Lepisosteus oculatus: one gene and its partners. The protein of the gene in region 1 purifies or fractionates together with the protein of each later gene. This does not show direct contact. Links are inferred from orthologs where the notes say so. Each region holds a gene or a part of one and is shown in the gene's direction. Other genes may lie near its edges.

Region 1 (6,976 bases):
GTGAGCGTGTACGTGTGTGTTAGCGTATGTCAGTGTGCATGTGTGTGAGGAAATGTGTATGTTGGAGTGTTCGTGTGTGTGTGTGAGAATGCACACATGTGTATGTGAATGTGCATTCAGGAATGTGCACAAGTGTGAATAAATGTGTGCGTAGGAGTGCTCATGTGTGTGAGTACACGTGTGTGTGCCCCAGGCCTTGCTGGGCTCAGCTCCTGAGCTCCTGAGCTGATTACCACCCATCCCTCCATAAATAGCTGCTCATCGTTGGTGTATCACTGCAGCCTGTAAGCTCTCCCACCGGTCTGAACTAGAGACCTGTTAATACAGATACTGCTCTGCTCCTGTACCCCCTGGTGAAACTTCAACACCACCTTAACCTCGTGTTTTACAGAATGGCAACAACAAATGGAAAACAAATACACCAGGAGACCTTAAATAGATAATATTCTTTTCCCCCTCTCTGAAGCAAACAAAGTTCCACTCACTAGCTACCTCCTTCTCTCCCAGTGCCTCATCTCTAACCACTAGCCCACACTGCCTCTCTCCCAGTGCCTCAGCTCTAACCACTAGCCCACACTGCCTCTCTCCCAGTGCCTCAGCTCTAACCACTAGCCCACACTGCCCCTCTCCCTGTGCCTCAGCTCTAACCACTAGCCCACACTGCCTCTCTCCCAGTGCCTCAGCTCTAACCACTAGCCCACACTGCCTCTCTCCCAGTGCCTCAGCTCTAACCACTAGCCCACACTGCCCCTCTCCCAGTGCCTCAGCTCTAACCACTAGCCCACACTGCCCCTCTCCCTGTGCCTCAGCTCTAACCACTAGCCCACACTGCCTCTCTCCCAGTGCCTCAGCTCTAACCACTAGCCCACACTGCCTCTCTCCCAGTGCCTCAGCTCTAACCACTAGCCCACACTGCCTCTCTCCCGGTGCCTCAGATCTAACCACTAACCCACACTGCCCCTCTCCCTGTGCCTCAGCTCTAACCCCAAGCAGACGTTGTCAGTCTGAGAAATGTAATCACTGGTCCACATATTTCCCAATTTAATGCACCAAGAGAGATGAACCCAGATTCTCAAAGCATTAGCTACCCAAAGACAAACTGAAAAATGTATGTGAGTGGATCCTACTATAACAATATCGGGGATCACAGGGCTCAAAATGTGCAATGAAATTCAAAAAGGACAGACACAACAAAACCCAGAACTGTTCTTCTGCATGGTGGAGTAATCTCTCATTCCCACACTGACAAAATGTAGGTTAAATGAGCTGATCTCTAAAACGGTGAAAAGGTATGCCATTGCTGCAGTTCATAGACAAGACAGCAACACTCTATTCCCCACTGCGGGCACAGCCAATCACGGCACAGAATCACTGCCAGGCACTCCTGATTGGCTGCGGTCCAGCCTCGCGCCTCCTGCCAATGAGCTGGCCTGGGCTCTGTATCCAGGCGGACAGGAAGCTCGCTGAAACCCTCTCATGAATGGGAGACGCATTCCGCCGCTATGATTGCTTGTATAAGCAGATGGGGGGGGGGGTTATGAAGGAAATGGGCAATTTCTGTTCTTCAAGTGTTTTAAAGACACAGTGCCTCCGTTTTACGGCACAAGCGCCACTACAAATGTGACTTCGATATGCACAATACTTCCAGCGAGCGAGAGCAGTACAGCGGCCTGCCTTTCGCTGAGCCGGACAGCTACACCTAGACTGCGCCTCCGAGTCTTTGATCCATGTACCCGGAGCACCGCAGGGATCTTGGAATTGCAGGATCAGACAGAATTTTATTCAGACCGCCCACAGTCCCACAATCCCACAGGCTTAACCGGCTCTGTTAGCTCTGTGAACTAACTGAACCGCACTGTTACCTGATATCATTTAAAACAAGGCCTGCAACTACAGGACCTCACCTGGCCGAAAACCCTTCCTGGTGCCACAGCGCCTCCTGCTGACTGACAGCCTACAGCTCTCCTGGGCTGGAAGGGATGGGCGGTGTCGTTGGCATTTCCCTGTGACCCGTTCCTGGCGTCGGTTCGGTCTTGTCTCTGTCCCCAGCTGGGGGGTCCCAAGTCTTGCCCTGTTTGCCGTAGAAGCAGAGAAAAACAGACACCTGCCCAGCCACACGGGGGCGCTGTGCCTCAGCAGTCCCTGAACTTACCAGCCAAATCCAGCCCACCCATCCCTGGCAGAGCCGGGCCTGGCGGGTGATGACACTGCCAGTACAGCAGGGCTGGGGGCTGAGCTCGGCGCAGGATCTCCGCCCTGTGGTGGAGCGGTGGCTCTGTGGCTCAGGATCTGCCCCTGTGGCTGGAAGGTTGCCGGTTTGAATCCGGTGGCCGGCAGAGGAGTCCTACTCTCTTGGGCCCCTGAGCAAGGCCCTTCACCCCAGCTGCTCCAGGGGTGCTGTATAAATGGCTGACCCTGCGCTCTGACCCCCAGCTTCTCTCCCTGTCTCTGTGTCTCATGGAGAGCAAGCTGGGGTATGTGAAAAGACAAATTCCTAATGCAAGAAATTACATATGGCCAAGAAAGTGATAAAATAAAGACTTTGCCAGGTGGCTAATGAGCAAAACAAGGAGAGGGAGACGAGGAGGGAGAAGGAGCTGCTTCAGAGAGCAGTGCTCCCAGAGGCATGTGTCTAGCACAGCACCCAGCCTGTGTTTTGGCTGTTTCATGTGTAAATCCTATTTATAGAAACGTGTCTGAGTGGGTGTAGCTCATTTCTGCCTGCAGTTGTTTTATTGTGGGATAATTCATAATTCACTTATTCAATATTCTACATATTTCGTCTGAAGAGACTTTAATCTGTTTAAGCTTGTATGTCACGTCGTCCCAAGCAGGACCTTCGCGGTCCAGTCTTACAGGACCATTACATCATTTACAGCTCGTGGTGGCGAATGGAGATATTTTACCACAGGAATATAAGAGGCTCCCGAGGTCGCGCTTTCAGAAGGAAGGCGAAAGCCGAGCTCGGGCCTCACGGAAAGTTTGCACAGCGGCTCTTATCTCGCCGCCCGGACTTCCTGCGGCAAAGGCTCCGGGTCCTGCGGGACGAGCCGGATCCGGGACTCATCACGGCGAGGCGGCGTGTCGCCCGTTCTCTTCCGGGGTCGGCGGCACAGGCATGGCCAGCAGGGGGCGCGCCGGGGACTGGGAACGTTTCTGACTCCGTTCATTTTGTTTCTTGTAATGCTGCCACCTAGCGGCCAGAGTGTCCTGCGTCCAGATCGGTATTTTCATTTTAGTTAAGTTTTTAGGGATTGAAATTTATTCGCATCACATTTCCGAACAATTAAAAATGCTTATCGTCAAAAAGCTAGCTATTTTGTGTTTATAGTCAAATGATTTTTCAAATTATCTAATTAATAATGATATGTGGGGTGTTTCACATTTGACATAAAACTCACGGATGTCACAAAACGAGTAGCACGTGATTATTATTTTACTGTATGTTATTCTGATGTGTCAACTGTAAAATGATTTAAGAAAACTTTTATATGTGTCTAAATTGGAAAATAATTAGGTTATCTGTTTAATTGACTACTTCGACTGCTCGTGTAAAAGGTTCTTCTTACGAGCTGAGAACGTGACAGTCATGCTGTGGACGCAAGACTGTTATAATATCTAAGGGGTGACGTGCGACACCCAGAGCTGAGACCGGTGAACAGGCACATGCTTGCCCCGAACTGAGACTCGATCCTACAAGCAGCACCTGTATCCTGTACATCTTGTACTGATGCCAGGGGAGACCCCGCTCACGACTGGACTGTGACTGTCACGGTACACCGCCCGCTGACGACAGCTTAGCAGCAGAAGGAATACACCTATGTGACGCCTTTTGAAAAAAAAATGTCAGTGCACTTCCTACAAATGATAATCGTTTTACTTCCAAATTCCAAAATACGCTATTTCAGCTGCATCATGGCGCCGGGTCAAAGCGCTGTGACCCCGGAAGTACTCCCTGGGAAAAACAGCCCTATGCACCACGCGAAAGATGGCGGCCGCTGGCGAGCAGCAGCAGGCTCACCGAGCCGGGATATACAAACAGAAAAACAAGCAGCACAAACACGGCAAACACCGAACCAAGGGGGAGATTGAGCGGGAGAACAAGGGTAAGCGGGCGGCGGGGGTCGAGGGCTGCGTAGCCGCCACGGTTGTGTTGAGGAGGGCAGGTCTGGGCAGCGGCGCTGGAACACGTGCGTTTAAATGGCCAAGCGGTCTCGTGGCGTCGGTGCTGATGTTGTGCTTTCGGTAACTTGTACGATTTCTAATACCCGGGACCACCTTCAGGACAGAGAAAGTCCTAAATCTTATTTTTGTTTTCATTTTGAGAGTCTATTCTGTTTATGCAACTTGTTTATCCGCGCTAGATTTGACTGATTCACCTTCCACACGAGTAGTTTCCACTTTTCGCAGCTTGTTCGTGCGCCTGGGAGCGACAGGTTTGCAGACTCGCCGGCGGTGGCGCAGGAGCGCTCTAGCTCGGACGTTTTCAGACTTGCCTCCCTCGCGACACTCACGGGGCTGTTTTGTTGTCCCCGTGACGTCACCTCCCGTTCGAATCCAAGGCGGGCGGTGTTCGAGCTCGAGGTGTGAGAGCCTGACATTGCGTTTCGGGGTCAGGTATACAGCAGCTCCCCTCAGACACTGGGGTCAGCGGGCCCTGCGCTTTCTGCGCTTCGCGATGTTGCGGGATGTGGCTGAGCAGAGTGCCAGTCTGCAGGCGCTGACCCCGGGGTCACAGGGCAGTGTGCACCGAGCCTGCAGGGGGCAGTGCTGACCTCCTGCTGTCCCCCCCAGGCCGTGTGGCAGTGAAGGCTCTCAGCAGGAAGCAGAGGAAGGCGCTGAAGAAGCTGGATCGGAGGCACAAGGCCAGTCAGCTCCGCAGGAACAAGAAGGACACGGTGAGACTGAACGTCTCTGCGCCTGAGAGCAGTCTGGGGGCATTCCTGCCTGTGTGCTGAAGTGCAGAGAGTGCGTCTCCCGGTGTGTGTGTGTCAGAGTGTGCGTGCGTCTCCCGGTGTGTGTCAGAGTGTGCGTGCATCTCCCTGTGCGTGCGTCTCCCTGTGTGTGTGTCAGAGTGTGCGTGCATCTCCCTGTGTGCTCGCGTCGGAGCGTGAGTGCGTCTCCCTGTGTGTGTGTGTGTCAGAGTGTGCGTGCGTCTCCCTGTGTGTGTGCGTGTCAGAGTGTGCGTGCGTCTCCCTGTGTATCAGTGTGTGTGAGTGAGGGTGTGATGACCCTGGCTATATTTACTCTGGTGAGGTGTCTCAGTCTCCTGGCTCTGCCTCTGTCCCCAGGTGCTGTTGGAGAGGCGCAAGCTGGGCAGTAAGGATGGCCCCCCTCACCTGGTGGCAGTGGTCCCACTGCATGCTGGGACTGGCACTCAGGGCGTCCTGCAGCTCCTGCGGAGCGAGGAGATGGGACTGGTGCGAGAGGGTGTGGGGGGCCAGGGCAGCTTCGGGCTCGTCCTCCCCCGCTTCAAACAGAGGTTCATCTTCCTCAGGCCGGACATGGGTACGCTGGACCGCCGCTGACCAGGAGACGCCTGCTGGATTGCCACTGGTCGCGTTAGAACTGACACTGACTGCCAGACTCCCGCTGACTGGGAGACACCTGCTGGACTGATACTGACCAGGCGAACTGACACTGGCCCTTGGACTGTCCCTGATCTTGAGTCACCTGCTGGACCGACACTGACTGTCTCTTCTCTCTTCTTCCCCAGCTGATCTGCATGCTGTCCTGGATGTTGCGAAAGTAGTGGACACCCTGCTGTTTGTGCTGGACCCTGTAGAGGGTTGGGACAGCTATGGGGACTACTGCCTGTCCTGCCTCTTCGCGCAGGGCCTGCCCAGCCATGGTAAGCACCGCCCTGGCCACTGGTGTCCCATCTTGCTCCAGACTCGCCACCCACAGCTGCATGAGACGCAGAACAGTGAGAGACTGATCAGAGCTACGAGGTGTCTGTGAGCTGGCAGTGAGTCGGGGAGAGAGCGTCACTCCTGTAATGGGTGCTCATTCTCCCATCAGGCTGTGAGTGGCTCCTCCCCTTAGTGGGCGTGTCTCGGGAGGTTCCCCCCCCCACAATGGGCGTGTCAGAGGAGGGTCCCTCCCCCTCAGTGGGCATGCCAAAGGCTGTGACTCCTCCCCCTCAGTGGGTGTGTCAGAGGACAGTGGGTACTGTGCCTTATCATCTCTACGCAGGTCTGATGGTTGTAGTAATGAGTCTGTTTGACAACTAGCAGTGTGAAATTGAGAGGGTGTGCAAACTGTAAAGAAGCAGTTGGCAGCCAGATGACGCTAGGCTGGCGATGAAACCGGAGTGTCCTGGGATGCTGGGGGGCCACCCTGTGCAGTTCAGGCCGTGCGCTTCTATCCCAGGTGATGCTGTTCCTCTGTGCCCCCAGCTCTGGTGTGTCAGGGCGTGGCGGCGCTGCCCATGAAGAAGCGGACGGACGCCAGGCGGGCGCTGGGCCGCCTCGTGGAGGCGCGGTTCCCCGACGGACGCCTGTTCAGCCTGGATACCCCCCAGGAGGCCGTGCTGCTGCTGAGGCACCTGGGATCGCAGAAGCAGCGGCAGCTGGCGTACCGCTCGCGGCGCCCGTACCTGCTGGCCCAGCGGGCCTCCTTCGCGCCCGGGCCGGGGGGGCTGGGCACGCTGCAGGTCTCGGGGTACGTCCGCGGGCGGCCGCTCGGCGTCAACAGGCTGGTGCACATCGCAGGCCACGGGGACTTCCAGCTCAGCCAGATCGATGCGCCCCAGGACCCCCTGCCCCTCAGCACCCGGGAGCACCCGCCTGGCAAGGAAGGGGACATGGAGACAAAGGTTTGACCCCCCCCCTCCTCTGGACACACCCCACAATCACCCTGAGAGTTCAGTTTAGCCCCAATACTTTGGACTTTCTTGAAACAACCCAGAGCTCCCTTAACTGCTTCCTGCTGATTGATTAAAGGGGTGGTCTTGTAGTTGTAGAGATTTGAAAGC
Region 2 (7,977 bases), on another chromosome or scaffold:
GCAGTGGTAACTTTCACAGCCATATCAAAAATCAAATTATGTCCAACAGTCTTGATGCCCATAGTCGAAGATCATGGGCCACCCAAAACAGAAAAAACATCAATGTTCTCTTAACATTTTCAAATGTAATTAATCATATCATCCAATTTATCTCACAGGAAGAAATTATTCCTAAAGGATCAGGTCTTATAAACTCCACAATAATCAAAACAAACCAAAAAATAACAAAATTCCCAAAGGCCATGTTCCTGCATTCTTTTGTAAATTTCATCAAGTTCATAAGAAGGTTTTATCTATAATTCATTACACAGTAAGGGGATTTTAAATTTTACATGAAAAAATCTTCTAATATAGCAATTAAAGGAGAATTAACTATTATTAAGCCTCCTATTGTGTGCCATAAGTAACAGAGCTACCATTTTAACCGTACATTTCATCATAATTGTATATTCAGATTAACAACATCTGTTTCTTTTATGATACGTTTCATCATTTTTTTCTGTCGATCATGATAGGACAGAGGAATGGGTCATTGTGTCTCAAAGAATTAAGAAATGATCTCTTGCTAAGACATCATTGATAGTGACAGGTTTTCACATTTGTTGTCTCTAAATACCTATAGGAATGACCTGAAGATCATTAGATAACAACTCAGTACTATTCTGGCTTGTGTCACTTTCAATTATGATGTAGTGGACAAGGATTTATCTTGCGAACTGATTCCCACAAACATTGTATTTCTCTCATCTATTTAACAATTATATAAAACTTTTATTTTATATCACGCCTTTAAAAGTGGCCTCTCAAAGCACTATATGGTGAGAGACAAAAGGCACACAATGAGAGAAGACAGAAGAATTACACAATGACAATAAGGGTTTGGAATTCTGTAGGAAAGCTAAGGGGGAGACACAGAACCGGACAAATAAAAGCCAATGTAAAGAAGAAGGTTTCACTTTTCAGTTTTTCATTCAAATTAGTTTAAAAGTTTAAACTAAAAAAAGAACAATCTCCGAAATTGCATAAGTGAAGAAAACTCAGTGCAATAACTAGGCTTTGGCTTTCCACTTTGCAAATATGGTTTAAAGCATTAAAATGTGCAAGAGAATGCAAAAGACATTGTAATTTGAATGATGTAAAATCCCCTACTGTTTCCTGCAGTTAGCATACAAATGGATTCACTTACCTCTCTTCCACCAAAGCAGGCACCTGATCATATGACTGTGATAGCTGTAGAAAAACAAATAATATTAAAAGAAATATCATAAGTGTCTGGTGTTTTTCCATGGAGACGACCAGATGAAACTGCCACAGATGAAGGCTGCTTCATAATCTGCTCTGATAATATAGCCTAAACCTGAGCTCGCCGACTGACACAGCCAGCAGCCAATAGAAACAGGAGAGACAGGATAATCATGTATCACAGTCACACTCACCCACACACACACACGAACATGGCTTTTGGCCAACCCTGAAAATACTGCTTCGCTCCGTTTCACCTTCCTCACACAACCCTCTTTTTAAATGAAGAGCACCTATAATGGCACAGTAACCAATTGAATTCTTCAGCTAGGCTGAAGCAGGCATTTGACATTTTCAGAGAGAGAAATAAAAATATGGTAATGTGACCTACATTCTCACTACACTGGCTCAATAATTGAAATTAATTCACTAGAGATATGTGTGTTACCCACGGAAAAGCTATAAGTGGAACAAGATTGTCTAATGAAGTGGAATGAAAATGTTGCAAAACAAGACTGAGGGAATTACATTCTCCAAACACTGCTTTTCCACGCCTTTAAATGCACAACAGCATTGCACATTTCAAAGCACTGCAAAATGTGTGTCTCAATACCACAAATGTGAGACATACCAAATCATACCAAAGTATTCTACAGCACCTTTGAACTCCTCTCACATACACAACCACAATCTTTCTCCTGAAAACAATTCCCTTTTGAACTATAATTAATTTACATTGTAAACCTTGATTAAAGATTATAGAAGTCATTATAGAAGTCTATATAGAAGTATAGAAGTCATTTTCCATTTTTCAGAAAGAAAATCGGAATTCTAAACCTGCCTTTATTATCTTTATTCATCACTGCAGAATGTAGTGCTGATCACTTTTAAGGCTGTCAGAGGCTTACATAGATGGATGATATTAGGGGTTAAAGCTCTACATTTAAGGGTTATGGGTGCTGATCTCCACTGTGTACATTTTTGTTGCACCCAACCGCAAGAACATAAGAATGCCCATCTTTTGTTTAACAGTGATTGCTCTATACCACTTAGCTGTAGAACAGGGTAGCAACATTGTTGGGGGCAGCTCTTCGTGTGATTAGTGTCCCATATACGGAGCTGTGTCTCAGTCTGCTTAATGTTCCAGAAACCATGTGTGAGTCAGAAGGATGAATGCCATTCTACAGTCATTCTGTAGGTGCTGTAAGTACAGTGTTCATATAATTTGAGATTATTCATAGTGGTAGTCAGCATATGCTCGCATGAATACTGATATTTATAATAAAAGCAACAAAAATCATTAAAATCTTAAAATGCTCATTCGTTTTAAATTGTGATATTTGGGGTTTGTAGCCTTGGTCCATAGTGGTATTAAGCGAGATCAGAATAATCTCTGTGGGATGAGTGGTGTCAGTAATGGGGGTGTCACCGAAATGGAAACACTTCAGGGCAGTTCATTAGCAGATGTGTTGGAGGCCGTTAACACGCATCACTGCAGCAAATCTGAAAAAAAAAAAGATCAACAGCATAAGCAGAAACCTGTTACCCACGCATTATGATCCTCTTCATTCTTTCTACAGACACTTCAATTACACTAAAAAAAAGCACTAGGATTACCCCATAAACTGGAGGCAAGCATATACTGTAAAAATAGATTTCCTCTGCCACTTTACTTTCAACCTGTTTCATCATCCATGTTCTGCTTTTTTTAGATGGTACCTCAGGAATGTACAGAAGTGCCCCCTGAGTAATAAATGATTTTTAAAACTCTAATTGTTCAAAGGTAAATGATGGTGTCTTTTAATATTAGTAAATTTAATTTTAAAAATGCCACAACTGGTTTTCCACTTTTTCCATTTGTTTTGGAACACTATGTTGTGACATATTGAACCTTTTCTATGTGCTACATGTACTGAAAAGTAAAGATGCTGCAATTCTGCGTTCTCTTGATGTACAGTAGTGCCTTTGGGGCTCTAGTATTAAAATATGTCATAATATTCTAATAGGAATCACATCATTGCCCTTGTTATGACAAATGACTTGACTTGACTTGAACTTTATTGCCATATGTAACCGGTGCTGGTACAATGGAATTCTTACTGACAGAAAGTCTCTCGATTGTAAAACAAGTGTAAAAAAAACAAAACAAAGTGCAAACAGTGCATCAAGACAATGTACAAACAAACAATAGACAATGTGCAAGTAAACATGCAGACAGTTTGAATGTAAACAATACAGACGTGTAAACAATGACTGGAGACGTACAATAAATAAATTACAATGAGGTAGATGGTGATGGTGTAGGTGTGGTCCGAGGGGGATGGCTAAATGTGTTCGCCAGTCTCACTGCTTGTGGATAGAAGCTATTGAAGAATCTAGTGGTAAGTGTCCGTATGCTCTTATATCTCTTGCCTGAGGGCAGTGGGGTGAAGAGCTCATGCCCGGGGTGGTAAATGTCCTCTATGATGGCCAGAATTCTACCACGGCAGCGGTCCTCATAGAGCTGTTTAATCTCGGTGAGACCGCAGCCGATGATCTTCTGGGCCATATTGACCATTCTCTGCAGTGCCTTTCTTTCTCGCGAAGAGGTGTTGCCATACCACACGGTGATCCCGTTGGTGAGGACGCTCTCGATAGTGCAGCGGTAGAAGTTCACCAACACATGTATTGGCATCCCCCATCGCTTGAGGCACCTCAAGAAATTAAGGCGCTGAGCCTTCTTCATGATAGAGTCAGTGTTCACAGTCCAGGTTAGATCTTTAGAGATGTGAATTCCCAAAAACCTAAAGCTGGTGACTGTTTCCACTTCCGTTCCATCAATACTGAGTGGGCTGTGAGTGTGTGGCCTGTGTCTCCGAAAGTCCACTATTAGCTCTTTCGTTTTCTTTATGTTCAAGTCCAGGTTATTGCTATGACACCACCTAAGCAGCTGTACAACTTCATCCCTGTAAGTGGACTCGTCATCATCACTGATCAGTCCTATTATAGTGGTGTCATCGGCAAACTTAATGATGCGGTTGTTGCTGTGTCTTGCTGTGCATGGAGCTCTATATGGAGTACCTTTTTTCATAATTTAATCAACGAAAGATTTTGGCATTTTACATGTAAATATTTTCTTGCCTTGCCAGTCAAAAACAGAATAGATTTACAACTGTTCAATAAAAGTTTTATTTTTATGTAACATGTTAACGTTTTTCGTTTTACCTGCAAACTACATAGACAAAACAACAGTATTTTCACTTTATTTTACTGAGTTTATAACATTTCATGGGAAAGGATATATCAGTCATGGAAAAATACTATTATTAGCTAATTATTATTTGGATGACGACGATATCGAATAAGACTAACTTTTTACCCATCTATACAGTTGGGTAATTTACTAAAGCAATCTCGAGGGTATATATTCTGCCATTATCAGTTATATCTGATAATATTATTTTATTACATTTAAAAATAATTAAATGTCCGTTATAATTAAATTAAAAAGAACACCGAAACAAATCAAAATGACCAGAAGTGTACGGTAAGACATGCGCATAGAGCAATTACTTTTCAATCAGGCGTGCAGAAGACACCTATTATTTCCAGGAAAGGCACTAATAAAAGTGTCTGAAATATTCCCTGAATATTCATATTGAAATAAGTAAATATTTTGGACAAGGTTTTATAGATTGGTACATTTTAAAAGTACGATCATTACAATACATAAAAAATAGGCGCTTTCTAAGTTCCTTATTGGGTCTTCCGAAAAGCCATTGTCGCGGTGATTGCTGGGATCGCTCTTTCCTGCTAGGGCGCTGAGACGAGAAACATGGGTAGGTATTGTATTTTGCTGGAAAAAATACATTTTATCTGCATTTCAGTCTCTCCGAGGCAATAAAAAGGCGTGTAAGTGGTTTATAAGAGTATATTAATTGTATTTGTGGTATTTTACTGTGATTGAGACGATTTTTTAAATGCATACTTGCATACTTGTTGGGTAACGTGGAGAGCGGCCATGCTGCATTCGCCTGTGCGCCACAATTTGGCCGAGGTATTAGCACTCCGGTCCGTGATTCGGAGTTGTTTATCAATTAGAATATGAAATAAGGATTTAAAAAAAATGTTAACAGTATAGCGTTTTCTTAACTATTATAAAATAATAGTTCCTTGTTACTTGTTATACCGTTTAACCGCATCGTTAACAAGGTAAGAGGAAAAGGCTTAGCTGAGCGTTTGATTTGAATCCTGTATTCTTGTGTGTTTTTTTTGTAGAAAAGCATTTATAAAAAAGGGCTGGTGTAAAGTGAATGTTTATGTATATCCTGATGTCATGCGATGTAAAGGCTTATGCGGACGTGATTTCCAAAAATTTAGAGGTGTTGAGTAAATTTATAATAGATAAAACTCCTTTTTAGGTACGATTTGTTTTATTCATGGTTCTTTAAATCCATTAAGACATCGGTGTGCAGTCGTAATTTGGATTCTAGACTATTCACAAGTGAAGTGGTTTACTTGAAGTAAGTTGTCTATCTCTGTTGTCAAGTACTAGGGAGTGGACTGGGCATAACACTAAAACACTTTATGTGGAAAACACATAAGTTGCCTTAGAAGAACATTATAAAAAGCTGGTAAATATTTATATGTATTGTGCGATGAATTGTTTCACCTTTTAATGGAGAAATGATGTTGATAATGGACTGCAATGAAAAGCTACAGGTGTGTACTAAACACTTAAATCACTTTTGTTTAAGTAACTTGAGGCACTGTAAAAGCATTTTAAGCAAGATTCTCAATAAATGTTATGTGAATTTTGATAACTTGACAGTTGTAGACAGGAAGTAAAAGGTGACAAATATTGAGGCCTGGCAATATAACTCCTGTCAGATGTGTACACCATGAAGTGCTTTGAAAGAATTGTGGAAGATTAAATACTTATCATATTTTGACTGCTTTCTTGTTGTAGATTATAGGTACACAAGAGGACTATACAGGCCTACATCATCTTGCAGTACCATTTGCTCTTCTTATTAATAATCTTAGATCTCCTGGAATCAGATTCTGCCCACTTAATCTTTGCCTTTCCTTTCCTCAGGCAAGTGTCGTGGTCTTCGTACAGCCAGAAAGCTGCGCAATCACCGCCGTGAGCAGAAATGGCACGATAAGCAGTACAAAAAGGCTCACCTGGGCACTGCCCTGAAGGCCAACCCCTTTGGTGGGGCTTCCCACGCTAAAGGCATCGTCCTGGAGAAAGTGTAAGATTTCCTTTGCGTTCTGTATAAAGTAAATCTTTCTAGCTTGCTGTATTAAAACATTCACTGAGACGGTGTTGTCATGCGGATTCTGTTTGGATTCTGAACCTCTGAGGGAATGTTCTTGAAATAATGTTGAAATGGGCGAATGTTGTCGGTGATGCCTTGTGAACAGCTAAGGGGTTCCAGATTAAGTGAGCGTTTTGAGTGTCCCGTTGATTAAAAGAAAAGGATATTTTCAAATTTAAAAGAGTGTGCTCTGCACATTCATGTGATGCTACATTTAAAGATCTGCACATCCTGCAACCCAAATCAAATCAAAGTTTATTTATCAAATGCACAACAATACGACGTGCAGCAGTAGTTGCTGGCAATGAAATGTCTTTCTTTCGAGCTCACAAGAATCACAAAATCAAAAATCACTAAATTGAGGTTATGTTTTTTGAAATTGAATTAAACTCAATATGGGTAGAGCTGCTATGTGTCCATGGTGTATGCAGTATATACAACTAGTGCAGTTATGCTGAATACAGTGAAAACTGTCCATGTAGCCATTACAGGTGATTTGCTAAAGGAGCTGCAGGTTGGCTATTTAGCAGTCTTATTGCCTGGAAGTAGAAGCTGTTCCGTAGTCTGTTTGACTTGGACTGAATGCTTCGGTACTGTTTACCGGATGGTAGGAGGGAAAACAGTTTGTGACCGAGATGACTGGGGTCCTTGAGAATGGACCTGGCCTTCTTCAGACATCTAGCTGAGTAGATATCCTGGATGTTTGGTATCCTGATATCCTGGACCCCCAGCTCTTCTTTCGTAGTGAATGAATGAGTTTTTTCTCCCACAGGGGTGTTGAGGCTAAGCAGCCCAACTCGGCCATCAGGAAGTGTGTCAGAGTCCAGCTGATCAAGAACGGCAAGAAGATCACTGCCTTCGTGCCCAATGACGGCTGTCTTAACTTCATTGAGGTTAGTCCCAGGGCTGGCTGGGCTGCAGCCTTTCTGGAACTGTACAGAACTTTGCGTAATAGGCTAGAATTAATTTTTACCTAATGTTTCATTTCTTGAAATGTTTTAGTCAGATGGCAATCTAATTGTTCAGAGCCTGGATTTTAGTATCAAGTATCTAAATTGGCTATTGCATAATACTAAGGATATTCTCATGATACCAATTATTTTAGGATTACTGGAAAGATCATATTTTTTGATAATGCTAAATGTGTTACAAAGTTATGCATATTTCATAAATCTGTGTTGTCTGATTTCACTTCCAATTGGTTATTTTTTCTTTACCTTGAAAATGGGTAATACACAGATTTTCAGCAACGTCTGTAGACGTATACCTGGAAATTGATCCAGAAAATTACAGATGACTTGTTTTAAGTCTACATTAAAAAAAAACCTTAAAAGCCCCTTTAATATCTTAAGTTCAAAGGAGTGAAATCACTAAAACTAATTAGTTCTAAGCAGTATAAATCGATTCTGCCTGATGGAAACAAAAATAGTAT
Region 3 (8,013 bases), on another chromosome or scaffold:
CACAAGCAGTCTGTGCTTCAAGACTCTGTCATGCATCACAGTGCCGAGCCGAAGAGCCCTAGAGCCAGGCTTTGCCTACCGGGGAAGATGGTGCCCAGGACAGATCCAGCCTCCTGTGCCCAGGGCTGGTATTTTCTGTGCAGCTGTGGAGAAAGATTGCTGGGCACAGCACCAAGTTGCTTAGAACATAACATGCCTGTGTTCAGTTTTTGTTACATGCTCTCCTGTGCACCATGTAATGTGAAAGACAGTCCAGTTTCCTTGAAGTTCTCAGGATCTTTGCACACAATGAGAAGAAAGCTGGGCTTTTAACACATCTCCCAGACCTCATCCTTCTCTCCCTGCACACACTCAAACTTTTTTTGTTCCACGATAAAACTCAGCACTGTGGAAGGATCCAGTGTTTTGAAAATATTGTCATCTCAGTTGTATTTATGGGCCTTTTGTGCTAGCTGAAATAGTCTTGGAATCTACATGCATAAGCGAGACATAGAGTTCATCTTCTGTTAAAAATCAAGAGCCCAGACAGGGGTCAGACCAAGCAGAGAGGTGGAAGATTTGGTCTAGGGTTATTTTTTCTTATGTGGTGTGCTTCTTAACATTGCCAGTATTCATAATTAATCTCAGTAACCGTAGATACAGTATGCACTTTCTCAGAAATAATGTAAGTCCTGTGTATCTGGCGTCATAGAACTTTCTGTATGTGTGCAGCGAAAACACTAGATATCAACACCTCAGAGGAGGTAAAAACATATTGATTTTCTTTCCTGTGCAAGCCTGCCATCCTCCCTCTTTTCTTCTAAAATTAGAGTTTCCAGAAATGGTCCGGCTACTTATTAAGATGGATTGTAAATAATAGATGGTATCTGGCTTAAAAGCACCATTATAGGGCTCTGGAATCTCCCTTCGGAAAGGACGGAGCAGATCAATATCCCGTCTTGTTTGATACCGTAAATAAAGCCTCTCAGAATTGTTCTTGGGCTGTTTTCGGGAAATGGAAAAGGCCAAAACTGTTTCTGTGAGCCCTGCAAGAGTCATGATTGGAGTTGCATATGTGAGGAGGAGGAAATATTTCACCAGTCCTGCCCCTTTTCCCCTTGACAGTTACCCTTGGCGGTCAGGTTTATTTTTTTAATGCTCTGATTTTTTTTTAATGTTGCCCTGATGGAGTTTTAATGACATCAACTGAGGCCTAGGTGATATTTTAGAAACTGTAAATGTAATTTATGAACGTAATTATTTTTAAATTCTATGTGTCCTGTACAGAATGTATATAAACTTCATTAAATTCTCATTTACCTTCGAAGGGAGTGTACTTGTAAACAATTATTATATTATGTGAAAAATCATCGAGTATTTTTTAAAACCTACATTGTTACAGTATATAGTGAAAACATTTAAAAACACAATTGCATATATTACTTTGTATATAACACTGTATTTATTTCTGTGCCAGCTACATTGCAGTGGAGCAGCTCTTGAGCTCTGATAAACAGGAGTTCTTTGATGGACGTGACATAGTTTCAAAGCCTTTCTCCAAACAGTCGGCAGCCTCAATTCACTTGAAGTGTGAATGTGGAGTTTCTGTGAAGAGATTTCAGAGGGCTCTGTTTTATTTACTTCATGTTGTGAAGAGGCATCAAAAGTATCATGCAGACATAAAATATGAAGTGTCCCACATTCCAGAACTACACATCTTAAATATTTTGCATGTAGCTGATGTTGAAGAGGGAACTGGATTGTGTTGGAATGACTTCTTCATCTCGTGCAGAATGCCCTTTGTTAAAAGCCGCTTAACATTGATTTGTGTAAATTCACTGCAAAACATTAAGGACACTTTGTATGTTAAACTTTGCTGCCATTCCACGCTCTGGGCTGTCCACGTATTGTAAAGTGTGTTTGAGTTGCCAATTGTAAACCTTTTTTGTAGAATTTGAGGCACAGCTGTGGTTGTAGGATGTTTTACTGAAGCATCAACGGACTGTGTCCACTGCACAGTGTAGTATGAAACTACCAAATGTACAATAAAAGGGTTTTACTGTAACTTTTGTGTGTCAAAGCTGTGTGTGGGTATTGCTTCTTACCTTAAGCTTGTTTAATTTTCTTTAGAGGGTGGTATTTAAGTAATGTAGTAGAAAATTGTTGTCCTTTGTTAAACAACATCCTATGATTATATACAGTATTGTAGTACAGGGGTGGACAACTGGTTCGAGAGGGTTGCGGTACTGTTCGAATAACAGGTCTTTCACACTTGGAAGCTCGGTAATCCCTAACAATCAACTGATTTAACTTCCATTGGTACAATATGAGGAAGGCACTCATCCCTGGGACCACAGGGCCCAAGTAGCACAGGTTCTCTGGATGGAATCCAGAGATCCAGAAATGATCTCAGGACCCAGGCGCTGTGAGGCCGCAGTGCTCCAGCATGCCACCTGGAGCTCCCCTGTGACTGGCATTGTTCACTGGTCAGGCACATCTCTTCCCACAGGGTCCCTCAGTACTGTACATCCAGGAGCTGTCACCCACTGTGTCCCCTAGGTGCTGCTCCAGCTGCTCATTGCATCGGGGTAAGGCAGAGAATTACTAAACCAATGGAGCTACAGGGTGCGAGTCTCAAGAAACCTGAACTGAAATTTAGACAGGAGGTTTTAACCTCTACCATATGATATATAGAAATGCTCAGCTTTAGACCTCTATTAGGACCCTGTTCTGGGAACTCTCACACCTGATGGTTCTAGTTTCCACCAAGCTCTTTGCTTCATTGAACTAATGAGTTGGTTAATAAGCACTTTTCTCAATACTTTTTTATGCTCAAGCTGCAGATCTTAAGATAAAGTATATCCAAAACACAGGAGGTTAAAAAGCAATGCCCAGCTGTTTTAGGATAGAGTTCAAGTGAATCCTACTCCCAGCTTGACTGGTTCCTCTGAGTTTTTGGTTCCTCTCCTCCGTTGTCTTCTGGTCTTTTCTGTTCTGTATTGACTACACGTACGGTCACTTGCATTGTAAAGCGCCTTGGGGCAAACTTTTTGTGAAAGGCGCTATAGAAAAATAAATTGAATTGAATATTAACGTTTCTACATTTCAAAACACGTTTTTCCATTAGTAGGAAACATTTAACTGTTCAGTTTTTGAAGATGGGTCTTTATCTTAGGCCAGAAGAGGGCACTCTAACTGTTTCTACCATGTCCGGCATAACTATGGATATAAACAGACATTGACTGTCCGATCACTTCAACAGGTAACCAAATAACTGTGCTCTTAGACCAACATATCTCTTCCATTATTTCAACATCGTGATACACTAACTGCCACAAAGCATTGTTAGGTGAGGAAAGGTAATGAGCACAGGATATTAACAGTAGTACATGTATGACGAGAGGCTATAGGTTATCCGTAATGTCTACAACTAAATGGCATTTCACAGGAATGACGAAGTCATGCATATTCCAGTATTCCAGGCATATCGGTCATGTTATGAGAAATACGATTAGCCTCCAACATTGGAAAATAGCATTATGATATACTAGAAAACAGATGTGATTTATTTTTTGCCAGCAGCCATATCATGCTGTAACACACAATGTATATCCACTGAAGCTCAGCAGGTGTGAGCCTGGTCAGTACCTGGATAGGAGACCTCCTGGGAAAAACTATGGTTGTGGCTGAAATTGGTGTGAGTGGGACAAGTTGGGGGCGCTCATCCTGTGGTCTGTATGGGTCTGATGCCCCAGTATAGTCACAGGGACACTATATATCCAAGGGCGTTTCTCGAATAGAGTAGGGGTGTTACCTCGGCGTCCTGGCCAAATTCCCCCCCGGACTTTACCAATCACGGCCTGCTAATAATCCCTGTCTCTGAACTGGCTTCATCACTCTGTTCTCCTCCCCACTGAGAGCTGGTGTGCAGGGAGTGTACTGGCGCACTGTGGCTGCCGTCACATCATCCAGGTGGGGCTGCACACTGGTGGTGGTGGAGGGGATCTCCATTACCTGTAAAGCGCTTTGAGTGGAGTGTCCAGAAAAGCACTATATAACTCTTAGGAACTATGATGACATCTATGGGAAGTGTAGTCAGTCTCATTATCACCATCATCGTCATTATTATTATTATTATTATTATGATCTCAAAATCATTTGATAAAATCGCCTTTTCTGTTCATTTTACATAGCCTGTATAAACCGTCACTACAGGTCGTTTCAGGAAGGAAAATTCAGAAAATTGCAAAAAATCCTGTTTCAGTACCCTGTGCGTAAACTGTCGTACAGTATTATCACTTGGAATACTTATTTAGCTTTTTTGAATGTTTAGCGCTAACGAAAAATAGTTAATCCTCCCCGAAAGTCTGCTTTATATCTTTTATTTCACAAATATCCCTATCGCGTATCCAAAAAAAAATAATTCTGAGAAGGATGCAACCTAATGGATATTTACTCTAGATATCAGGATGAGCCCTTATTGTTCCCCTCGACACTTGAACAGTTCTGTGCTATAAAGGAAAACAAGTTTCAGTGGGCCAGTAAGTAGCAGTTCCTTCGGCCGCACTATTTTCAGGAGTAGGATTGTCAATCCCAGTGTCCTGGATAAATTCTAGTTCATATATTGAATTTATTTGCTCTGTAGTGGGACTCTCCCCTGCGTAAAACACTCTGGGATACTATGGAAAGAATGATTAAACACTATATAGTTGTAAGAAATTAATATTTCTTTTGAAAAAACTCGAATCTCTCTTATAGCCTATTTTTTTTTTCAGTGTATGCATAGTTGGTATCTGTTGCATTTGTCACGTGTAATCCTGTTTTGTACATTTCACCGAAACCCCGTCAACTTGGATTGCATGAATTTGATTAATATGTCTTGGCAAGTGTTCATCCGAAGGTCTATTTTCGATTACTTTCGTCTGATGGAAAGTACCAAGTGAAGAAAACATTCTTTTTCGAATATTTATATTATTTTATTTTGAGACGCCACAAAAATGTCCTATTTGAGTGTCTTGCTTTATTGTTATGGCAACATTTAAGATGAAGGCATAATGGCTCATTTAAAACGCCTATGGGGACACCGCAGCTACACGAATGAGATGGTCTTTTCCGTAATGGCGCTGGTAGCGTGTTCCAAGCTGGGGTGCAAGCGTGGTTTATACGCGTTTTAGAGTAAACGAAATTAATTAGGAAGGTGTCTGTTGTCATTTCAGATTAAGTTACCTGCGAGTCAGAAGATACATCCACTTCTACCGTAGTTGCATCTCTCTGGAATAATTACAGAACTTCAGCAAAGGCATGGTATGAATCTTTACCAATTACGCTTTTAACATTTGTTTTCAGTTTCTCTGCTTGTGTTGTGTTCGTTGTGTTGAATTTATCTTAACTGGGTTTAATGACCTTTGCTGCCCAAGACATTCCACTTTGGGTTAAACATTCAAATAAAATAAAACAGATAATTCTGAATTTCATTATGTGAGGTATGAAATCCATTTCTAATGTGTTTTAATAAACTGGGGACGTCGTACGTATTTATTTTGAAAGCCTCACAAGAAGAAGAAGCCTTTCATTGAGAAGAAGAAAGCAGTGACCTTTCACCTGGTGCACAGGAGCCAGCGAGACCCCCTTGCCGCGGATGAGAAGGCACCCCAACATGTGCTGTTACCTGCCTGCAAGGTGAGCCTGTCACTCGTCTTCTGCATTTCCTGCTTTGTTCCATTTCATTTATACGCCATCAAAAAGAACTGCCAAGGAGGAGTTAAAAGTTAATGTACTAAATTATTTATTGATTGATTGATTGATAGATACGTTATTGATCCCGTGAGGGAAATTGCAGAAATTCCTAATGCAAGAAATTGTATGGGGCTAATAAAGTGATGTTATGTTTTTTTTTAATGTACTAAATGCATTAACAGAACGCTTATCAAAACTTTACCAGAGGTAAAGACAGCTCTACTGTCTCACATATCTTCAGCCCTACTGTGTGTAATAACAACAGCCAGTTTTGCACAACTTCAGTCCTTAAAAGAGGGAGAACAGGCTTCACCAAGTCACTGCTTTGAGCTCCCTGTGTTCTCGCATTTAACCGAACTTAAGTAGCAAAGAAACTGTAGCAAACAAAAAGATCTGCAAACGACAATAGCAACTGTGCCACAACTTTCTCGTTTTTGAACAAATTATTGCTTGCATTTTAGCTAATGCTGTGTTTTTGTATTCGAGAGATCAGTGTGTAAAAGGAGGTGATTCACGGAAGATCTTTTCTTTTTCCAGGCAGATGCAGAGAAAAGGAAGGAGGAGCAGAGGGAGTATGGGGTGTTTTTTGATGACGATTATGACTACCTGCAGCACCTCAAAGAGCCCTCCGCCTCCACAGAGCTGGTCTCCTCCAGCAGACCGCACACAGACGGGCGGCTGCTCGTCACTGAAGGCGGCCCCGTGCAAGAGGAGGTCGAAACCATCCCTGTAAGGCCCTGTAACACACTGCTACAGACCAGCTATCTAATCAGTGCTGATGCTGCAGTGAAAGCATTCGTTTAGTCTTTTTATTTTTTTAGGTGTCATATGTTTTTCTAGTAAGAAAAACTATCAAGGTAAACGTCCAAAAGTGCTTCCTGCAATAATATAATTTTTCTATCAATCAAAAGTACAATGAGCCACCTGGTCTCAGAAGAGTATATGAGGAACCCGTAGCTACAGCCAGGGCTCAAGGATGGCACACGTATTTCACACCTGAAAGGAGAAATCTTCCCTTTTATAACCTTCAAACTCCTGGGTGTCTTTTCGCAGGCCGTTTCCATCAACCTGCCTTCCTCTGTGTTTGCCTCGGAGTTCGAGGAGGAGGTGGGACTGCTCAATAAAGCGGCACCAGTTACAGGTACGGCGCTGTGGCGAGGGAGCTGTGAGCGATGGGAGTGCAGTTAGAGCTGGTTTTTCACGGTGTGACCTGACACTGGCGGAAGGAAGGATACGGGGCGTGGAAATGATCCATAAACGGATCGAGTATGGCAGGAGCCAGTACTAGCTTGCTGGGAAAAAAGGGAGCACTTTTAGTTCTGACGTAGGAACCTTTGGAAATCATTAAATATCCAGCTACAGATGGAACTAAATTAACTGGAGATTAACTAGTTAGAAGATCGGTATTACAGCAATCATAAATCGGATAAATCCACTCAATACCACTCAATGCTCCCTGCGGTATAGCTGTAGAGGGCTGTAGTGGCTTCTCTAGAAGATGTCTTTCTGTATAGACTTCATCGCCTCCACCCCTGGTGCAGTGCAGACTAGTGTGTCGTAGTGGCGTCTGCACGGCATTCACCCTGTGCTTCTGTCTCCAAGGCCCTCGGCTGGACATGGATCCTGACATCGTGGCGGCTCTTGACGAGGACTTCAACTTTGACGATCCGGATAACATCCTGGAGGACGACTTTGTCCTGAAGGCGAACCAGCCTGGGGGGGACGCCGACTTGGGGTATGTCTGTTGCTCACTTATCGCTCTCTGTGTCGACCTACAAACCGCGGAGCTTGATCCCACCCTCCTCTGTATATCTTCCCTGTCTGCCCGTGTCAGCGTGGAGGAACGTAAGAGCACTAGAAGGGCCCTTCCTTTGCTAGTAGCTTTTTGACTCAACGATCGATCTCATCCAGCCATTTCTTGGAAGAAGCCATGGCATTGGTTTCAACACTGCTGAAAAGTTTGTTTCCAAAAACTGCCTCCTGTTCTCAGTTTCGAAGGCACTTATCAGTAGTTTCCATGCTTCTCTGTTATCTGGTTCTCTGTTGGTTCTGAATAAGTTAAGGGATCCCAGCCTTTTCCAGCAAGTGACTGGCAGTAATGGGGTCCCTGTCAGGAGCAGCGCAGTTCTAGGTGTTGATGGTGGTTTTGCGCCCCTCAGCCCCATGCAGTGCCCCATGGGAATGGAGCTGATGTCCCACATTGGGTCCTGACCTGTGCAGGCTGCCGTCTTTCAAAAGTCACGCTTTTCAAGACTGAGACAGAAGCTGCGTCTTTCGTTCGGAACTCTGCTACAGGAC
Region 4 (7,684 bases), on another chromosome or scaffold:
CTTTGTTAGTGTGTTCAATTAAACACAAAAGTGAAATGTAAAAATGTACTGGCCTACAGAATTAGCCTCTCATCATTTGATCCCCAAAGAGATGTCTGCAATGTGGCTGAATGTTCTTACAATGGAGGCTTTCAAGGTCAAAGATTTACTAGTGTACATTGCAGTCCGGAGTGCCCTTCTTGTATGAGACAAGGCTGAAATGCATAATCGTATTATAAATGAAAAATATAAGTGATGAATATGGCACAATTGTATACCGCCCATGCCTAGCTACTGGGTGTTCAAAAAGTCTAAAAATAATGTTTGTGTGACCTGGAGTAAGGCATGGGATAGAAATGCCGATCTTGCAGCAAGGAGCCCAAAGTCCTTGCACAGCTGTGCTTGCAGGCTGTCAAGGGAAATATGAGTTACAAGCACATTAGTCAGTCCCAGGAAACTGCAGAGCAAAGTTGAAAAAGTGTTCTCTGGAACTGGGAATCTGACTCTTCCTTGCTCCAGGTGTGATTCAATTTTAATTAAGAAACTGTTTAGCTTTTTGCACACTGAAATGTAGATGTGTGCCTTTAAGAAAATGGAATTCTGGAATGCTGGAGTTACTCACTAGGTAAGATTCAGGAATTGCAGTAGGTTCCTGTACAGACATGACATAGTTGCCTTTAATTAATGACTACATTTTAATCATCAGTAGAGTAAATTATTTCCAGTGTGTCCAGATCTTATGAAAGGTATCACTCCCCTTATATTTAATGCTTTGGGTTTACCTATAGTAGTTTTCCATGCTTTATATTCTCTTTCCTGTTAAACACTTGGTGCCAGAAAGGACCTATAGAGAGCAGACTACATTTCTGAGATGGAGAGACTCATGGTATATAAGGTCAGTTTCTGATAAGCTGTTATTTTAAAGGTGTGATGTTCAATATGCAAGTTAAGATCATGTAATTATCACATTATCACAAACTGATCTCAGCAAGGTCTTTGCATCAAAGTGCTTTACTTACACCTTTGTGAAAGCCAGTTATGCATTGTTGCAAGGTTTATTATATGAGTTGACTAAGTTGGTTGGTTCTGATTGGTAAAAAATCAGAGCAGGTTCCCTAGTGGCGTACCTCCTAAAATGCCAGACTCTGTCATTTGCTGGTCCATTTTTATTCCCAGGTCTAAAGAATCACAGATCTCCTCCATCTCTAATGAAGGATAACTAATGAGGATTTAGCTCTTTTTTTACTCTCCATTGTGACCTCTGTGAAGTACATAACTGGTGAGGCTAGAGGCACATCCTCCAAGCCAAACTCCACTTCTTTGACTCACTCCTGAACATGGCTGACTCTTCATCATCTGACAAGAAGTTCAGGGACATTAGTGTTTGCAGTTGCCAGTGGACAGTTGAGGTAGGTCATAGGAGTGAACTGGGTATTCCAAACTTAAGGACAAAAGGTTTGTTTAGCCTAATTGTTTTAAATCTTTTTTTTTTCTTTCACAAATATTCATATAAAGTTATTCGTAGACCTAGACCTTTAAATTAAAACCCATGGTGGTCAACCGTCTTGTGGTTCTGTATCTTTATCCCAAAGATGCTGGCACTCTTCAAGAAGTGCAGTAAGTTTGTGAGGTTTTTCTTATTAGGTCATTTTTCTGCATGGGTTTCTTTGGAATCTTTAATGTTCAATAAGAACTTTAACTTATCACAAGGAAGATTTGCGGTATGCATATGTTGTATATGATAGTGACCTTCAAACCAGGGTTAATTAATCATTGCGTAGTACTACAGTACATAGACAATAACAGTTAAAAATGAAGAAGTAGTTTCCTAGTGGACAGCATTAATAAAGTCACGGGAGCAAGGGGTGACTAGAATTAACATAATGAAATAATCATACTGAAGTGGCTGTTGCTAATTAGTGCAATCTTAGACAACATTGCATTTAGAATTTTAGTGTACAGAACAGCACAATATTTAAATAGTGGCAAGCTGCCACATACAGTGTAAGGGTTGAGGGTACTGCATGGTACAGCCACGATCTTTTCGTCTTCTAACTCTGAAGTACCATTGTGTGGTTTTTCATGGTCTTGGTTATCAAACCATTAGGATTTAGATTGTAATAACATGTTTTCCATCCTTTTTAGCATCACTTCACTTGCTGGAGCACTGGTCTCACTTGCAGTCCTGCAGGAGCCCATTAAAATACTTGATTAACCAGTGTTCTGTTTTTCCTCCAGGAAACTTGTGATTTCCTCGTTTGCTTCACACAGCATTAAAATTCCTTTGTAAGAATGTATTTTGTCTGAGTGTGGGATTGGGGGAATTAAGTTCTAATGAAATAAGTTTCATTCTTTGCAAAGGTTTATGAACGGTGTCTTCTGTGTTGAGCTATGGAAGTGTTGCATTTATAGTGTCATGCTTCCAGACACAATGCAGGTGAAGCCAGGTTTGGCATGGGACTATAAAGCCATGAACATATTTGTAGTGACTTGGAGGAGACTGGATTAGACTTCTTTGTCCAGAACCTGGAAACCAAGAAGCCATCTTATTTTCACTGGGCTATTATTTGCAAGTATAAAAACACTGGCTCATAAACTGATAAAACATGCAAATTCAACAAGCATATCCCATGACTTCCAAGAGGGTGTAAATATATAGAAATCTGTATATTTAGAAACTTTAAAATATATATTCTAAGATAGGAAATGAGATAATTTAATATGCGTACAATTTTATTTTACAGGTGATGTGTACATTTATAAGCAGATTTAATTTTCATCCTTGTTTTTTTTAAACTTGTCAATTAAAATGGAAGATTGTGACTCCTGTAGTGTTGTCTTTTTTTTTTGTCTTTGGTTATTCCCAGTAGTGTACTTTTAAAAAGTCTGCAACATACTGCAACTGCTATGATGAGCCTTAAACCTTTAGACTCAAGTGCCACCTTGTGGACTGTGGAAAGAAATCTACAGAACAAAAGGAAACAGAGCTGGCACTGCAGACGTTCTGCTGCCTTTAGGGGTGAGTGGTGAGTGATTGTAAGAAAAACTAGGACATGGGCCAAGCATGTCTTGAAGAAACAAAGTATAGTTTTAAATCACAATATTTCCTGATCATTCTTAAATCATCCGAGTAGAATTAATCATATGATTGCTACTCAGTTCGTAACTAATGGAAAAGCTGGACCATTTGATTCTAAACTGACACTGCCTGTTAACATTGTCTTGCCCAGACTTGAATAGTTTGCAGGTTGTGAGAAGATGGAGGTGAAGGTTTACAAATTTGCCTATTTTAAGTTATTCCTAACTGAAAATGTATAACAAGCATTGGAGATGTTTATTGTTGGGCAACCATCCATTGTCTGAAAATTGCTTATTCCCGGTAAGGCACATAGCAACTTAGAGCCTGTTCCAGAACCACAGGATGCAAGATGGGCCTATTCCCTAGACCCAACACTAATTAAACTAGCCATTAAGACATTTAAATGAAGAGCTCCCAATACTGCACTATTAAACCCCTTGCATCCTTGTGGAAAAAGGGAGACATTGCAGTTCTCTGCTTCCTCACAGATCTTATGTCCTGGGCTAGATTTCAGAGTGAGTTTTACGCTTAGCTATTCTAAATCTTTGTGGTCGTGATGAAGGTGTCCTGTCCAGCCTGAAAGTAATCCACTCCTCTATGCTCTGCCTTGCATCCCAAGCTTGAAGGATTGTCTCTAGTTTCCTGAGCCTGTGCGTGTGGTTCCTGCTGAGCGTGTGATTTCTCATACATGAATGTATTTAAGAACTATACATCATCAGAAAGCTGTGCCATCAAAATACTAGCTCCAATACAGAACATGACATTAGAAAACATCTGAAGTTGGAATAACTGTCTGATCCCAAATGTGTGTAGTGATTCAAATAGTAATTTGTTTAGTCATGGAGGAACGGCTGGTAGTCAGAATAACTCAAAATTACAATACTAGGCTGCAAAAGGACAAGTGGTTTTTAGTTTTTGTAAGATATCTTGCTCATTCTGAACAGGTGCAAAAGATCCCATTATTTCATCTAAATAATATAAGTAAAGGAGTAAGGACTGGTTTCATGTCTGGTTTGCACTAGACCCGGACTGGTTTGTGTAAGGGCTTAAAGGAATATGGTACACTGGCAGCCTGGAGGAACTGGACCTTTTGTAGTCTTGAACACAGGTCCATGAGGAAATCAATGTTCAAAGGCGCTGACAAAGTCAACCCAGTGGACGTCTTCAGAATCAACAGTGAAAGATGAACCAGGGGACACAAGTGGAAATTATGGGGAAGTGCACTTAAAGCTGAGAACGGGGGGCAGCTCTTTTACTTCAAGGGGTAAAAGAAAAGCGCTATGTAAGTGTAAGGATGGTTTATTTAAAGGTTTGTGGGAGTAATTAGGAAACGGTAGGAATGAATTCATCTGCTCATTACCTGCTCACTACCAGATGGACTAGTTTGGTAAAACGAACTGGTACTGTTTTTACTGCATGTTTTTAAGTCCGTTTTTTTCTGGTGCGAATCAGGATTTCTAAGTGTATTAATCTACTGATATGAGGATAAAATATTTAGAGTCCCGTTTTTTGTCCATTATGATATACAGTTGTTAAATCGGTTTCAAAAAGACACTTGCTGTGCCTACAGAAATCACTGTAGGCTAACCTAGTACTGTACTGCAGGCTGCTCCACCTTGTGGAGGGAGATGTGTGGGTCTGCTGGCGCCTGCCTGAATCCCCCCATGTGACGCCGGTCGATACACAGGCGACTCGGTGATCTCTTCAAAAATTCAGCAGTTCTTGTGTGCGGAGTTCGCCGAACAAGATGGTGAAGTCGGGGAAGCTTCGGTCTGGAACCGCACAGAAGCTGAAGCGATGGAAAAAGGGCCACAGCAGTGATTCAAATCCGGAGACACGGCGCTATCGGCAGGCGGCGAGAAGCCGGTTCTTTAGCCGGCCTTCAGGTGAGGATCCCGCAGTCTGACGCGCAGGATAGGTCGGGGCTTTCCGGCCTGCCTGTGGAAAACACGTGGGTACACGGTCGTAACCCAGGGTGGAAATTACTGTGAAATCTGCTGTTTTGTCAACGTAGTGTTTTTCAGAATTGGGACCTGTGTATTACATGTACTGTGCTGGAGCTAAATGAAGAGTGAGATAACATGTCATAAACTTAAAATCTTAGATAAACTCTCGAACGTAAGTCGCAAACTTATAAATATCGCTAAATATATGACAGTCTCGTATCTACAAATATCGTTTGCTTCCTTTACCTTAAACGATACACGCTTGTTCTGCTTTGGAATAGAGATCATTGGTAATTTTAGTTCTCATCGGCAACACCACGTGTGTATTTAAAGAGACAACGACTACCAAGTTTGTCCTGGCAGCCAGTTCAATCGACTGCTGGCTGCCTTGTGCCACACATTGTCATCAAAACTGACTTCGTTTGAATATCCAATCTCTTAGGACGGAAAACGTCAGTATAATGTGTTGGACGATTTTGCTCGTAGATCAGTGAGCTTTAAATTTTAGTGGAAAAAAAATCGAAGCGTGGACTTCATCCCAGAATTATTTACATGAAATAAAACAAATAGTCTGATTTATAGGGACCAGGGAAAGTATTGTTTTCAGCTGAACCTATTCAGTGCATCAGACTTTAAAAAAAAATACTTGATGATTTAAAAGCTTTAAGAAGTAATTGGATTATAAACAGTACAGTAGGGTACAACAGCAGAGTCCCGCCTGGGGTTTGAACCCACTTCAAGTTACAAGTCCAGCACCCTAACCCTGCTCCACACTGCTGCCCCTTCACAGCGCTTCATCGAGTGAATGATGCAAGTGCGTCCCCCCATTTTTTTCTCCAGGTTGATCCTGGGGCCTGTTTCCAAAACTAAGCGTTCCCTCCTTTGCGGGCCGCTCGGCTGGGCTCTTTTTGTTTTTGTTTCCCAGAAAACAGTGACCTGACCGTCGATGCCCTCAAGCTGCACAATGAGCTGCAGGTGGGGGCCCTGGAGAGGCAGGAGGGCGGCTCCGACCGTGCCTGCTCGGCGGAAGGCCCCGCGCTCTCCGAGAGGACCTCCGGCACGTTCCTCAGCGGCCTGTCTGACTGCTCCAACGTCACCTTCAGCAAAGTGCAGCGCTTCTGGGAGTCCAATTCTGCTGCTCACAAGGAGGTTGGTACCTCCGGGACAGGCGGGGGGGGGGCAGCTACAGCCCCCAAGAACGGACGGCCGCTCTGATTTTCGTTTCCGCTCTGGTTTGAGTGGATCACAAGTCGTGTCGCCTGTTTTTAAGGTCTGAACCAGTAGCCATTAAAAGTGCCTTTAAAATCTGCCAGATTCTAGCCCTCAGGGACTGGAGGTGCCCATTAAAAACTTCAGAGCCCTCGCATAACGATGTATCGTAATTGAATGTAATGGCTCTGGTTGGGATCATTGTCTTCAGTGATCTCGGGGTTTTCAGCAGAGCTCTGTGTCTCACCCTGTGCGCTGGGGGCTGCTGGTCCCCCTGACCGCTGCTCTCCTCGGCTTGTGAATTCGGGTCCCGTCTCCCTCCTGCCTCTGCTGGGCTGGCAAACAGGCTGGACAGCTTGACTCGCAGTCGCTTCCGGGCCTGCAGTGTAACAGTGCACAGTGAGGGGAACAGCCGTCTCTCCTCTTCACTTTGCTGGGAGACTTGCAGTGCAACTTAAGTTACCGTTTCATGCTTTTAACATGTTTCAATAACACCCCCTCTCCCCTGGGACACCTGATCTCCATGGGCTCTCTAAAGCGCTGGTGTGGCGCCAGTCCCACAACCTGTCTGGTACTACTGCCTCTAGAGAAGGAAGGCAGAAGCCGGTTGAGTAGCTTGCCCCGGGTTCGAGCCTGTGCCCTGTCACTAGCAGACTGTGCCAAAGATTCCCCGCGCGGCAGAAGACAGCTGGCTGAGCGCTCTTTGTATCGCATGCTCGGTTATTCTCAATTGGCGAGTTCTAGTAGTTGTTTTGTTATCCTACTAAAGGGAGATCGTTGATGAGAGGTGTAGTAGTGGTGGGTCAATTGCTATCCAGTACACTAGAAATGAGCTGGCTGTTGTGTGCTGTTAGTCACATGAGCAGAGCACGAGTGGGAGAAAAACTGCTGCTCTCCGAGAACGTCACCGATGACAAGGATTCCTCATGATCGCATCTTCCTCACTGGTGCCTACCCCCCCATTTTCAATAGAATTTATCTCTTGCATTCGAGGGTTTCAGCTTTTTCAGGAGTGTGTCCCTTTTCTAACTTGGCATTCAACTGTAAGTTTAAAACCATTTTAGTGGTATGTCAGACGGTTTCTCATATTTACTCATCTGCCTGCAGAGTGATCCCAGACTTATCTATTTTCACAAGTGAGGTAGTGCAGGAAGCGTTGGGTTTGTGTGAGGTCGTCTGTGTTCAGCGTGTCCCTGGTCTGTTTTCCAGATCTGCGCGGTACTGGCTGCGGTGACGGAGGTGATCCGCGCTCAGGGTGGGAAGGAGACGGAGACGGAGTATTTTGCTGCTTTGGTGAGACGTGGACCTGCTTTGTGCCCTTGTGTACTGGAAGGACACTGTGTATTGATGATGCAGAAATCCTCTGTCCTGGCTATCAATTATTAACAGTTCACGTTACCTCTGATGATTACGTTTGTTGTGCCCAAAACAAACATAATATAACACTCACCTTTAAAGTGACCCAATTCAC

The links.
Region 2: the proteins of tsr1 (region 1) and rps23 fractionate together in Homo sapiens (co-fractionation; 3 studies listed by BioGRID and IntAct, with this or other methods). This does not show direct contact. The link is inferred for Lepisosteus oculatus from reciprocal best matches to the Homo sapiens genes TSR1 and RPS23.
Region 3: the proteins of tsr1 (region 1) and ltv1 purify together in Homo sapiens (co-immunoprecipitation; 4 studies listed by BioGRID and IntAct, counting the BioPlex papers as one, with this or other methods). This does not show direct contact. The link is inferred for Lepisosteus oculatus from reciprocal best matches to the Homo sapiens genes TSR1 and LTV1.
Region 4: the proteins of tsr1 (region 1) and rrp12 purify together in Homo sapiens (affinity purification with mass spectrometry; 3 studies listed by BioGRID and IntAct, counting the BioPlex papers as one, with this or other methods). This does not show direct contact. The link is inferred for Lepisosteus oculatus from reciprocal best matches to the Homo sapiens genes TSR1 and RRP12.

What each region holds. Positions count from the first base shown.
Region 1 is NC_090721.1:10,489,935-10,496,910, reverse strand, and holds the start of tsr1 (pre-rRNA-processing protein TSR1 homolog), read left to right. Parts: upstream 1-3,957; 5' UTR 3,958-3,988; coding exon 3,989-4,106; intron 4,107-4,794; coding exon 4,795-4,898; intron 4,899-5,291; coding exon 5,292-5,508; intron 5,509-5,716; coding exon 5,717-5,851; intron 5,852-6,398; coding exon 6,399-6,817; intron 6,818-6,976. UniProt on the Homo sapiens protein: Required during maturation of the 40S ribosomal subunit in the nucleolus.
Region 2 is NC_090699.1:56,700,460-56,708,436, forward strand, and holds the start of rps23 (small ribosomal subunit protein uS12), read left to right. Parts: upstream 1-4,963; 5' UTR 4,964-5,056; coding exon 5,057-5,060; intron 5,061-6,319; coding exon 6,320-6,479; intron 6,480-7,317; coding exon 7,318-7,438; intron 7,439-7,977. Other genes in the region: atp6ap1la (ATPase H+ transporting accessory protein 1 like a), read right to left, coding at 1,187-1,287. UniProt on the Homo sapiens protein: Component of the ribosome, a large ribonucleoprotein complex responsible for the synthesis of proteins in the cell.
Region 3 is NC_090712.1:1,926,642-1,934,654, reverse strand, and holds the start of ltv1 (protein LTV1 homolog), read left to right. Parts: upstream 1-5,007; 5' UTR 5,008-5,280; coding exon 5,281-5,283; intron 5,284-5,526; coding exon 5,527-5,658; intron 5,659-6,252; coding exon 6,253-6,444; intron 6,445-6,768; coding exon 6,769-6,856; intron 6,857-7,317; coding exon 7,318-7,450; intron 7,451-8,013. UniProt on the Homo sapiens protein: Essential for ribosome biogenesis.
Region 4 is NC_090699.1:16,787,470-16,795,153, forward strand, and holds the start of rrp12 (RRP12-like protein), read left to right. Parts: upstream 1-4,673; 5' UTR 4,674-4,805; coding exon 4,806-4,944; intron 4,945-5,929; coding exon 5,930-6,153; intron 6,154-7,422; coding exon 7,423-7,506; intron 7,507-7,684.